Ovis aries: one gene and its partner. The protein of the gene in region 2 binds, or shares a complex with, the protein of the main gene of each other region. Links are inferred from orthologs where the notes say so. Each region holds a gene or a part of one and is shown on either strand. Other genes may lie near its edges. The genes, in order: POLR3GL and POLR3B.

Region 1 (3,503 bases), on a different chromosome or scaffold from region 2:
AGGTCATACAGTTTGTTAAGTGGTAGAAGTAGGATTTGAATTTAGATAGCTTGACTCCAGGGTACATGTGCTTAATTACCACACTATACTATTTCTCCTTAAATAAGAAGGCTAGTCTTGAACTTTTTCTAGGCTATAGACTCACCTATTCCAGGACCGCAGCCCTGGATCTGTAGCTATCTCTGAGAGGGAGTTTTTCAGCTTAGGAAATGGAGATGGATGTAGGGACAGAACAGAAACTGAGACAAAAGTTGCTTTGTTTTTTTTTCCACTCCAGAACTACTGAGTTCAGGATGCTTGAGACAAGGGCTGGGCTACTGGAGGGTCAGCAAAACATTTTCCTTATCCATCTTATGCATTCTGTCACCTAGAGATAGTCCATGGAAGGAATTCTAGGAAAAGGTCTATATAGTAGTGAAAAAACTGGGCAAAAGTCACTTCTTCAGCCCACTTCATAACCTTTAGCTCTTGTGTGATTTTTTTATTGACCAGGTGCTTGGTCAGATCTCCATACTTTTCCCTCCCAAATTATATCTTTGTTTTTTTCCAGTGTGTTCAGAGTTATCAAGATGGTCCAGGATCCTGATTGTAGAAGTATCAGTTCTTTTCTTATTAATTTTACTTTCTCTATTTTCTCTCTTTAGTTTTCTGTCTTCTTTTAAATCTTCCAATACCAGATTAGACCTAATGAATAAATGATACTAAGAACTGGATCTCCTTTAATGGGTGTATATGTAGGTTATAGTTCCTTAAAAATTAATAGACATAAGAGAAGAGTATGGGAAAGGAAGACCCAAAATATCCACCCACTTAAATGGAGAAACAGCTGGGCTAGGACCCAAGGAAGACTACTTAAGTGAGCCCATATGCAGATGTCCTGAGGTGAAGTAGGAGTTGTGTATCAAAGTCAAAAGGAAGTCCAGTAGAGACTTTTGTGCTTTAAGGGAGGGATGTATTTCCTCTGGGTGAAGAGCTATAGCTGGTTCCTTCCTTCCTCAGATTTTTCTGTGCCAGTTACTAGTCACATAGAGCTAACTAAATTTAAAACAAACAAAAATAAAAATTCAGTTTGTCAGTAAAAGCAGCCACACATTTCAGAGCACTTGTCACGTGTGAATAGTGCCTATTGTATTAGTGCAAATGTACCACCTTTCCATCATTACAGAAGTTCTGTTGGACTGTGCTGGATTTGAGCTATTATGCTATCAGGAGAGGGTGCATATGTTCTGGCCCTTCAAGGCTCAAGTCTCTATCAGACCTTGGCTGTAAGTTATCTACCCTCTCCATCCCCTTGTATCACACTCCAGTAGCCAGGCTGTGTACACAACCAGAGTTGTGTGCTCCATGGTCTCCCCTTCTCTTTGTCCTGCCCTCTGGCCAGCTCTTGTCCTTGCCCCACCCCTCCAGTCCCTGGAAAACAAGCTCCAGAAAAATTTTCCATCAACTTTGACCTGGTTTCAAATCTGGCCACAGATTTGAAAGAGGGAGGAGGCTCTAAATTCGTGAACAGGTAAGAAATGGAGGAGGCAAAGGTGAGAGTGAAGGTGACAGTCACCATGGCAACAGAGCTAGAACCTGATGCCTTGATAAAGAAAAAACAGGAGGCGCAAAACAACTACTGAGAATGAAAGCTAGACACAAAGACAACTGCAAAAGAATCTTTTCAATCTCACTTTCTGTTCAATTTACATTGATTTTATGAACGCTGTTGGCTCAGACGGTAAAGAATCTGCCTGCAATGCAGAGCCCAGGTTCAATCCCTGGGTCCGGAAGGGCTACCCACTCCAATATTCTTGCCTGGAGAATTCGAGAGAGAGGACCCTGGTGGGCTACAACCCATGGGGTCATAAAGAGTCAGACACAACTGAACTAACACTTTCATTTTTAATGAACTTTTAGGAGTCTGAAGTTGGGAATTACTACGTGGAGATCCACAGAAAAGCCAACACCCCTCTCCCAATAAAGGCTAAGACTAAATTTGTCTGCAGAAGTTTAAATGAAACAGAAATCAGAAAGTATGTTAACTTCTGCCATCTCAGGGTTTATCAATGTAAGTCACTCCTTTAGGAATAATAATCATTTCAATTAGAGGTGGAGTTGTGGTATCAATCTGTTGTTATTACTCTACAAAGAAGTAACAGGAACTGTAAACCATACCCTAACGAGGAAGGTGGATTTGAATGTTCAGCAAACATTTACTGAGTTATGATCATGTGCCTGAATAGGAATTGTTCTAGGAGCTGCAGAGATTTAAAAAAAAATGGTAGCTGTCTTCAAAAAAGTTGATATTCATTAACTGTAAAAATCCTTTAGTCCTGTTTTGTCTTCCTACATATAAACCACATTTTTACTGGCAAGAAACTATGATGAAACCAAAATAAGAAATAAAAGTACCATAACACTTTCCTCCCAAATGCCCTTACAAAATTCATTTCTCTGTATTTTAGGAGCTCATTAAACAAATAAACAAACAAAAAAAGCCTTATATACTCCAAAGCTGAAGAAATTTAGTAATGATTAACTAAAGATGTAGAAAACCAGATCAGACCACCAGAAGACCCCACTATTCACTGAAGTTCTTCAGTGAATCGGACAAAAGACAATGTAGCTCAAATTCCTTCCCTCCTCACCCCCATTCTGACCATAGTCCTTAGGATCAATAAGAAATGGTTTCTCTATAGGGTTTTCAACAATCTGAGTTGTGAAGTAAGGGGGAAAGCTCCTTTAGGCACATTTTCTTTCTAATAACTTCAATATTATCTTACAGACAAGAAGAGAAACATTTTTTTGCCATTAAAAAACTTTTTATTTTCTTTTTTTTTTTTTTTACAAAGAATACCCCCACCTGGGGTGAAAAATATATCTGGTTAAGTACAAAATATAGTTTTTCTCATACAAAAAGATATACAATTAAAAAACAAAAAATGAAACCACCTTCAGCCCACATACTTTTTCAGAAAAGGGTAGATAGAGCTCAGAGCTCTGACACAGGACAGTGAACAAAGTGCTAAGGCGGAGAGTGACTGACCAAGTGCTAGAGGCTGCAGTGAGACAGGGGCTGTCAACAACCCTGTCTCCTAACACTGGGCAGGAAGTGAGCCCTTGGGGCTTCTGTGAAGATCTGCCTTCTGGTTTCTCATGGCAACATCTGGATGCTCTCATCACAGTGCTGGGGCATTTTATCTAGGGTTCCTCCTTGGGTTTGGAGAAGTCACAGTGGGCAAGGCTGATAGCAGCAACCCTTCTCATGTGATCAGTGTCAGAAATGCAGAATTCTGTACACTGGGACAAAGTCTCAAAAGCAGGAACACTTTTTTTTTTCCCTGTCATTGTGCTTACCCCTAGAGACATAGTAGACCAGTTTTAGCTTACATCTGAGAAAGGAAAAAACCCCAAATTTGACACAAACTAAAGTGCTAAGGACATTGCCTCAGAATCAATTCCAAGGAGTCACACGAGAAAAGAAAAAAACATTCTCCCACATAAAAATGTTTGCCAACAGG
Region 2 (4,305 bases):
GAATCTGAGAAAGACAAACGGAGACTGACACCTTAGTGCTGCCATTTCTGGAGATGAGGAGGCAGGGATGCTGCTGAGGCAGCCCCTTTAGTCTGAAGGGGCGACCAGGAGTTTGGCTGGGGGTATGTTAAATTTGAGATATCCATTAGACATGCAGGTGGAGATGCCAAATAGACAACAAATGAGTCTGGAACTTGGGAAGAGTGGCCTGGAGATCTAAGTCAGGGGAAGTCAGCAGACGGACAGGAGTGGAAGTCATGAAACAGATAAGACCATCTACGGAGTGTAGGTGGAGAGGAGCTCCATGAAGCTGAGATCAAAAACACTCCAACACTTGGAGCAGCAGAAAGCACACTGAGCAAGAGAGATCGAGGAGTGGCCAGAGAGGGAGGCAGACAATCTGGAAAACGGAAAAACATTTTTTAAGAAATGATAAGTGGGGGCAGGGGTAAATAGAAAATCTCTATACCTTCCTCTCAATTTTGCTCTGAACCTAAAACTGCTCTTTAAAAAAGTCATCTTTAAAGAAAACAAAAATTTTTTTAATTGAAGGATAACTGCTTTTACAGAATTTTACTGGTTTCTACCAAACATCAACACACACACACACACACACACACACACACACACACACACACAAGAAATGACTCTAGCAAAACTAATCTATGATGACAGAAATCAAATGGTGGTGTAGGGCTTAAACTGAAAAGGGCACTTTCTGCAACGATGAAAATGTTCCATATCCTGTATGGGGTGGTAGTTACTTGGGTATACATAACTGTAAAAACTAATGTAAATGAACACTAACTAAGTACTTCTGCATTTTACTGGATGTAAATCTACAAACAATGAAAGACAGACCAAAATGGACTACATGAGGAGAGTAGAAAGAGCTTGAGGAGCTGGAGTGGAGAGGGGGCAGGTGGGAAGAAACAAGCTAGAGAAGTAAGTGGTAGCCAGATTGAGAAAAGCCTTACCAATATGGTAAAGATTAGATTTTTTTTTTTTTGCCCTGAGAGCAATGGGCAGACTGAAGAATTTTAACCAATGGAGCAATATGAATATATCTGCATGTTTAAACTGATGGCCCTGGTGACAGAGTAGAGAATAATGGGACGAGTAAGAAGCCAAGGAAGTAACAGATGACAGTGGCTGGCTTGGAGAACAGGGGGAATGCCAGAACTGAGTACATTTTGTAGTCGGGGCCCTTAAGATGGGATGGTGGACTGGATGCAGAGGGTCAGAAAGAGGAACTTTTATTTCTAAATCAGAAGACTGAAAATACGTTTCTGGTCCCTTCATTGCTGTGCAGATTCAGAGAAGAAACAGAAATCCTGCAGCTCTCTGGAAAAGCAGTTCAGTCAGCAGCTAAGGTCAGGAGCTCTGGAGTCTGACTGCTGAAATCCAAAATCCCCAACAGTCACTTAATGGCCTTCTGACACTGGGTTACTTACTTAACATCTCTGGGTCTTTAAAATTTTCATTGGCAAAATGGGGCAAAAATATTACTTGCTTCGGAGGATTAAATAACATAATGCTCACTAGGTTTGAACACAGCTGGCACATAATAAGTGCTCAGTAAATGCTGGCTCTTAAATAGCAGTTCAAGAGTTAAAAATTCAAACCAACTATACTCCAATATAAAATAAACAAACAAAAAAACTTAAAAATCCAGTATTGCCTAAAGAAAATCACCATGTACAAAGGCACTCACAGAATCTAACACTGACTGTAATTCGTCAGAATGTAATCTGCAGAATGATTATAAAGAAATTGATTCATTGATCTTGTCAGTCATCCTGCTTAAACCTGTCAACAGCATCCCAGGCCTCCTACAAATGTCTAACAAAACCTTTCATAACCAGGACCCTTATCTGTCACCTTTAATCTCTCCTCTACTTTTCCACACTCCAATACTACTGGATTTATTTTTATTTCTCAAAAATATCAGATGGCCTTGCCTCCAGGTTTCAAGTGTCTTGTTCCCGCTACGTCAATCTCTCCCTTGACTATTTCTCTATGGCCCCAACCGATGCAAACTAAAATTTTGAGCCCCAGAGAAGTTATATGTCTTTCCACAAAATAAAATTATATCAACAGCTGAACTTCATCAGGCAGCTCAGAGTAGGATGCTGCTAAGTCCCTTCAGTCGTGTCCGACTCTGTGCGACCCCACAGACGGCAGCCCATCAGGCTCCCCCGTTCCTGAGATTCTCCAGGCAAGAACACTGGAGTGGGTTGCCATTTCCTTCTCCAATGCATGAAAGTGAAAAGTCAAAGTGAAGTCGCTCAGTCATGTCCGACTCTTAGCGACCCCATGGACTGCAGCCTACCAGGCTCCTCCATCCATGGGATTTTCCAGGCAGGAGTACTGGAACGGAGTGCCACTGCCTTCTCCGCAGAGTAGGATAGTTATCCTTAACTTCTGAGAAGCTGATGAAAGCTACAGGGTACTCCCCGAGAAAACACTTAAAATTTGGAGTAAATTTTCTGGGCACTTAAAATACTCTTGCAATCCCAACTTGAGTTCCCGGCGAAAAGGAGAAATTACTAGCCTGGGATTCAGACGATTTGGTTTTACCACCACAGCCAGCGCTAAGCTCCCTGGACCTCAGCATCCTTTATAAGAAAGCAAGCAATACGTCCCCCAAGGTGGGTGAGAGTCAGTCCTCCCCTGACAACACACGCACACTAGAATGGGTGCAACGCCGGAGCCGTGGGCGGGGCTGCTAGGCCAGCGTGGCGCCTGCCAGCTCCCCCAGCTCAACCATTGCACGTGGGTCCAGCGGTCCGCTAGGGAGTGAACTCGCCGAGCCCCGAGCCAGCGCTGAGTCCTGAGCATGCGCAAAAGACGCGGCCCGCCCCCCTCCACAGCAGGACTCTCGGGGCAACGCCTCTCGGGGACGCATCACGGCCTCTTCCGCTCACCATCTGCCCTGCACTCACCTCTACAGTTGGGATCGGCGCAGCCAGCTGCTCCGGGGTCAGGTTCCCAAACTCTTCGGCAAGCAGGTCCATGCTACTCACAAGGAACCAGACAGTAAGCAGAATACTCACGTGTGCCTCCCCTGCGTCAAGATATCCACTGTACCTGTGGAGAGCAGTGCGTGGTGGCTTAAAGGGTTCGCCGCACAACTTAAAGGAGGAAGAAAGGTTCCGCCTGCTGTCGGTCGGAACCTGCGGTTGAACCCGGATGTGGCTGAGGTGGCGCCAGGAAACTGCGCCCTCTGGTGTCCTTCGGAAGTCTCGCGTGGGTAATCTGAAAGCCAGGCAGGGTTGTCGGTTCCTGCGATCTCAGTCAGTCCGACTCTTTAGGACCCCGTGGACTGTAGCCCGCCAGACTCCTTTGCTATGGGATTATCCTAGCAAGAATACTAGAAACTGTTAGTTGCTCAGTCGTGTCGACTCTTTGTGACCCTATGGACCGTAGCCCGCAAGGCTCTTCTGTCCATGGAATCCAGAGGATCTTCCCGACTCAGGAATGGAACCCCGGTCTCCTGCGTTACAGGCAGATTCTTTACAGTTTGAGCCACCAGGGAAGCCCCCAAAATACTAGAGTAGGTTGCCATTTCCCTCCCCCAGGGGATCTTCCCGACCCAGAGGTGGAACCTGTGTCCCTTGCTTCTCTTGCATTGACAGGCGAATTTTTTTTTTTTTTTTTTTACACTTCACTTCCTGGAGAGCCCCAGTTATCCCATGCTGCTGCTGCTAAGTCGCTTCAGTCGTGTCCGACTCTGTGCGACCCCAGAGAGGGCAGCTCACCAGGCTCCGCCGTCCCTGGGATTCTCCAGGCAGGAACATTGGAGTGGGTTGCCATTTCCTTCTCCAGTGCATGAAAGTGAAAAAGGAAAGTGAAGTCACTGAGTCGTGTCCAACTCTCAGCGACCCCATGGACTGCAGCCCACCAGGCTCCTCCGTCCATGGGATTTTCCAGGCAAGAGTACTGGAGTGGGGTGCCATTGCCTTCTCCGCAGTTATCCCATAATTGAGGCCAAAAAGCATATTGTTTTAAAAATATTTCACAGAAAAGGGTAAAAGGAGAATTTGCACGACTTGAGCCACAGAAGCATAGGAATCATTTAATTTAGTCCCAAACTACACGTATACTATGGAAAAGTAGGAAATATACCAAATACGTGGTAGGAGGGGATTGGTTTAAAAACTTAAGGTACGTGTGTGGTGGACTACTATACAGCCATTAAAACGACCACAAAATGAGGAGGAATTAACTTTACCTAGAGAGAAGGCAATGGCACCACACTCCAGTACTCTTGCCTGGAAAATCCCATGGATGGAGGAGCCTGGT

Evidence for each region.
Region 1: POLR3B (region 2) and POLR3GL share a complex: the UniProt entries of both Homo sapiens proteins name them as parts of the RNA polymerase III (Pol III) complex. The link is inferred for Ovis aries from reciprocal best matches to the Homo sapiens genes POLR3B and POLR3GL.

Annotation. Positions count from the first base shown.
Region 1 is NC_056054.1:99,305,313-99,308,815, forward strand, and holds the end of POLR3GL (DNA-directed RNA polymerase III subunit RPC7-like), read left to right. Parts: intron 1-1,899; coding exon 1,900-2,067; 3' UTR 2,068-2,930; downstream 2,931-3,503. UniProt on the Homo sapiens protein: DNA-dependent RNA polymerase catalyzes the transcription of DNA into RNA using the four ribonucleoside triphosphates as substrates. Specific peripheric component of RNA polymerase III which synthesizes small RNAs, such as 5S rRNA and tRNAs.
Region 2 is NC_056056.1:175,319,107-175,323,411, reverse strand, and holds the start of POLR3B (DNA-directed RNA polymerase III subunit RPC2), read right to left. Parts: upstream 3,117-4,305; 5' UTR 3,018-3,116; coding exon 2,946-3,017; exon of another isoform or gene 2,871-2,945; intron 1-2,870. UniProt on the Homo sapiens protein: Catalytic core component of RNA polymerase III (Pol III), a DNA-dependent RNA polymerase which synthesizes small non-coding RNAs using the four ribonucleoside triphosphates as substrates.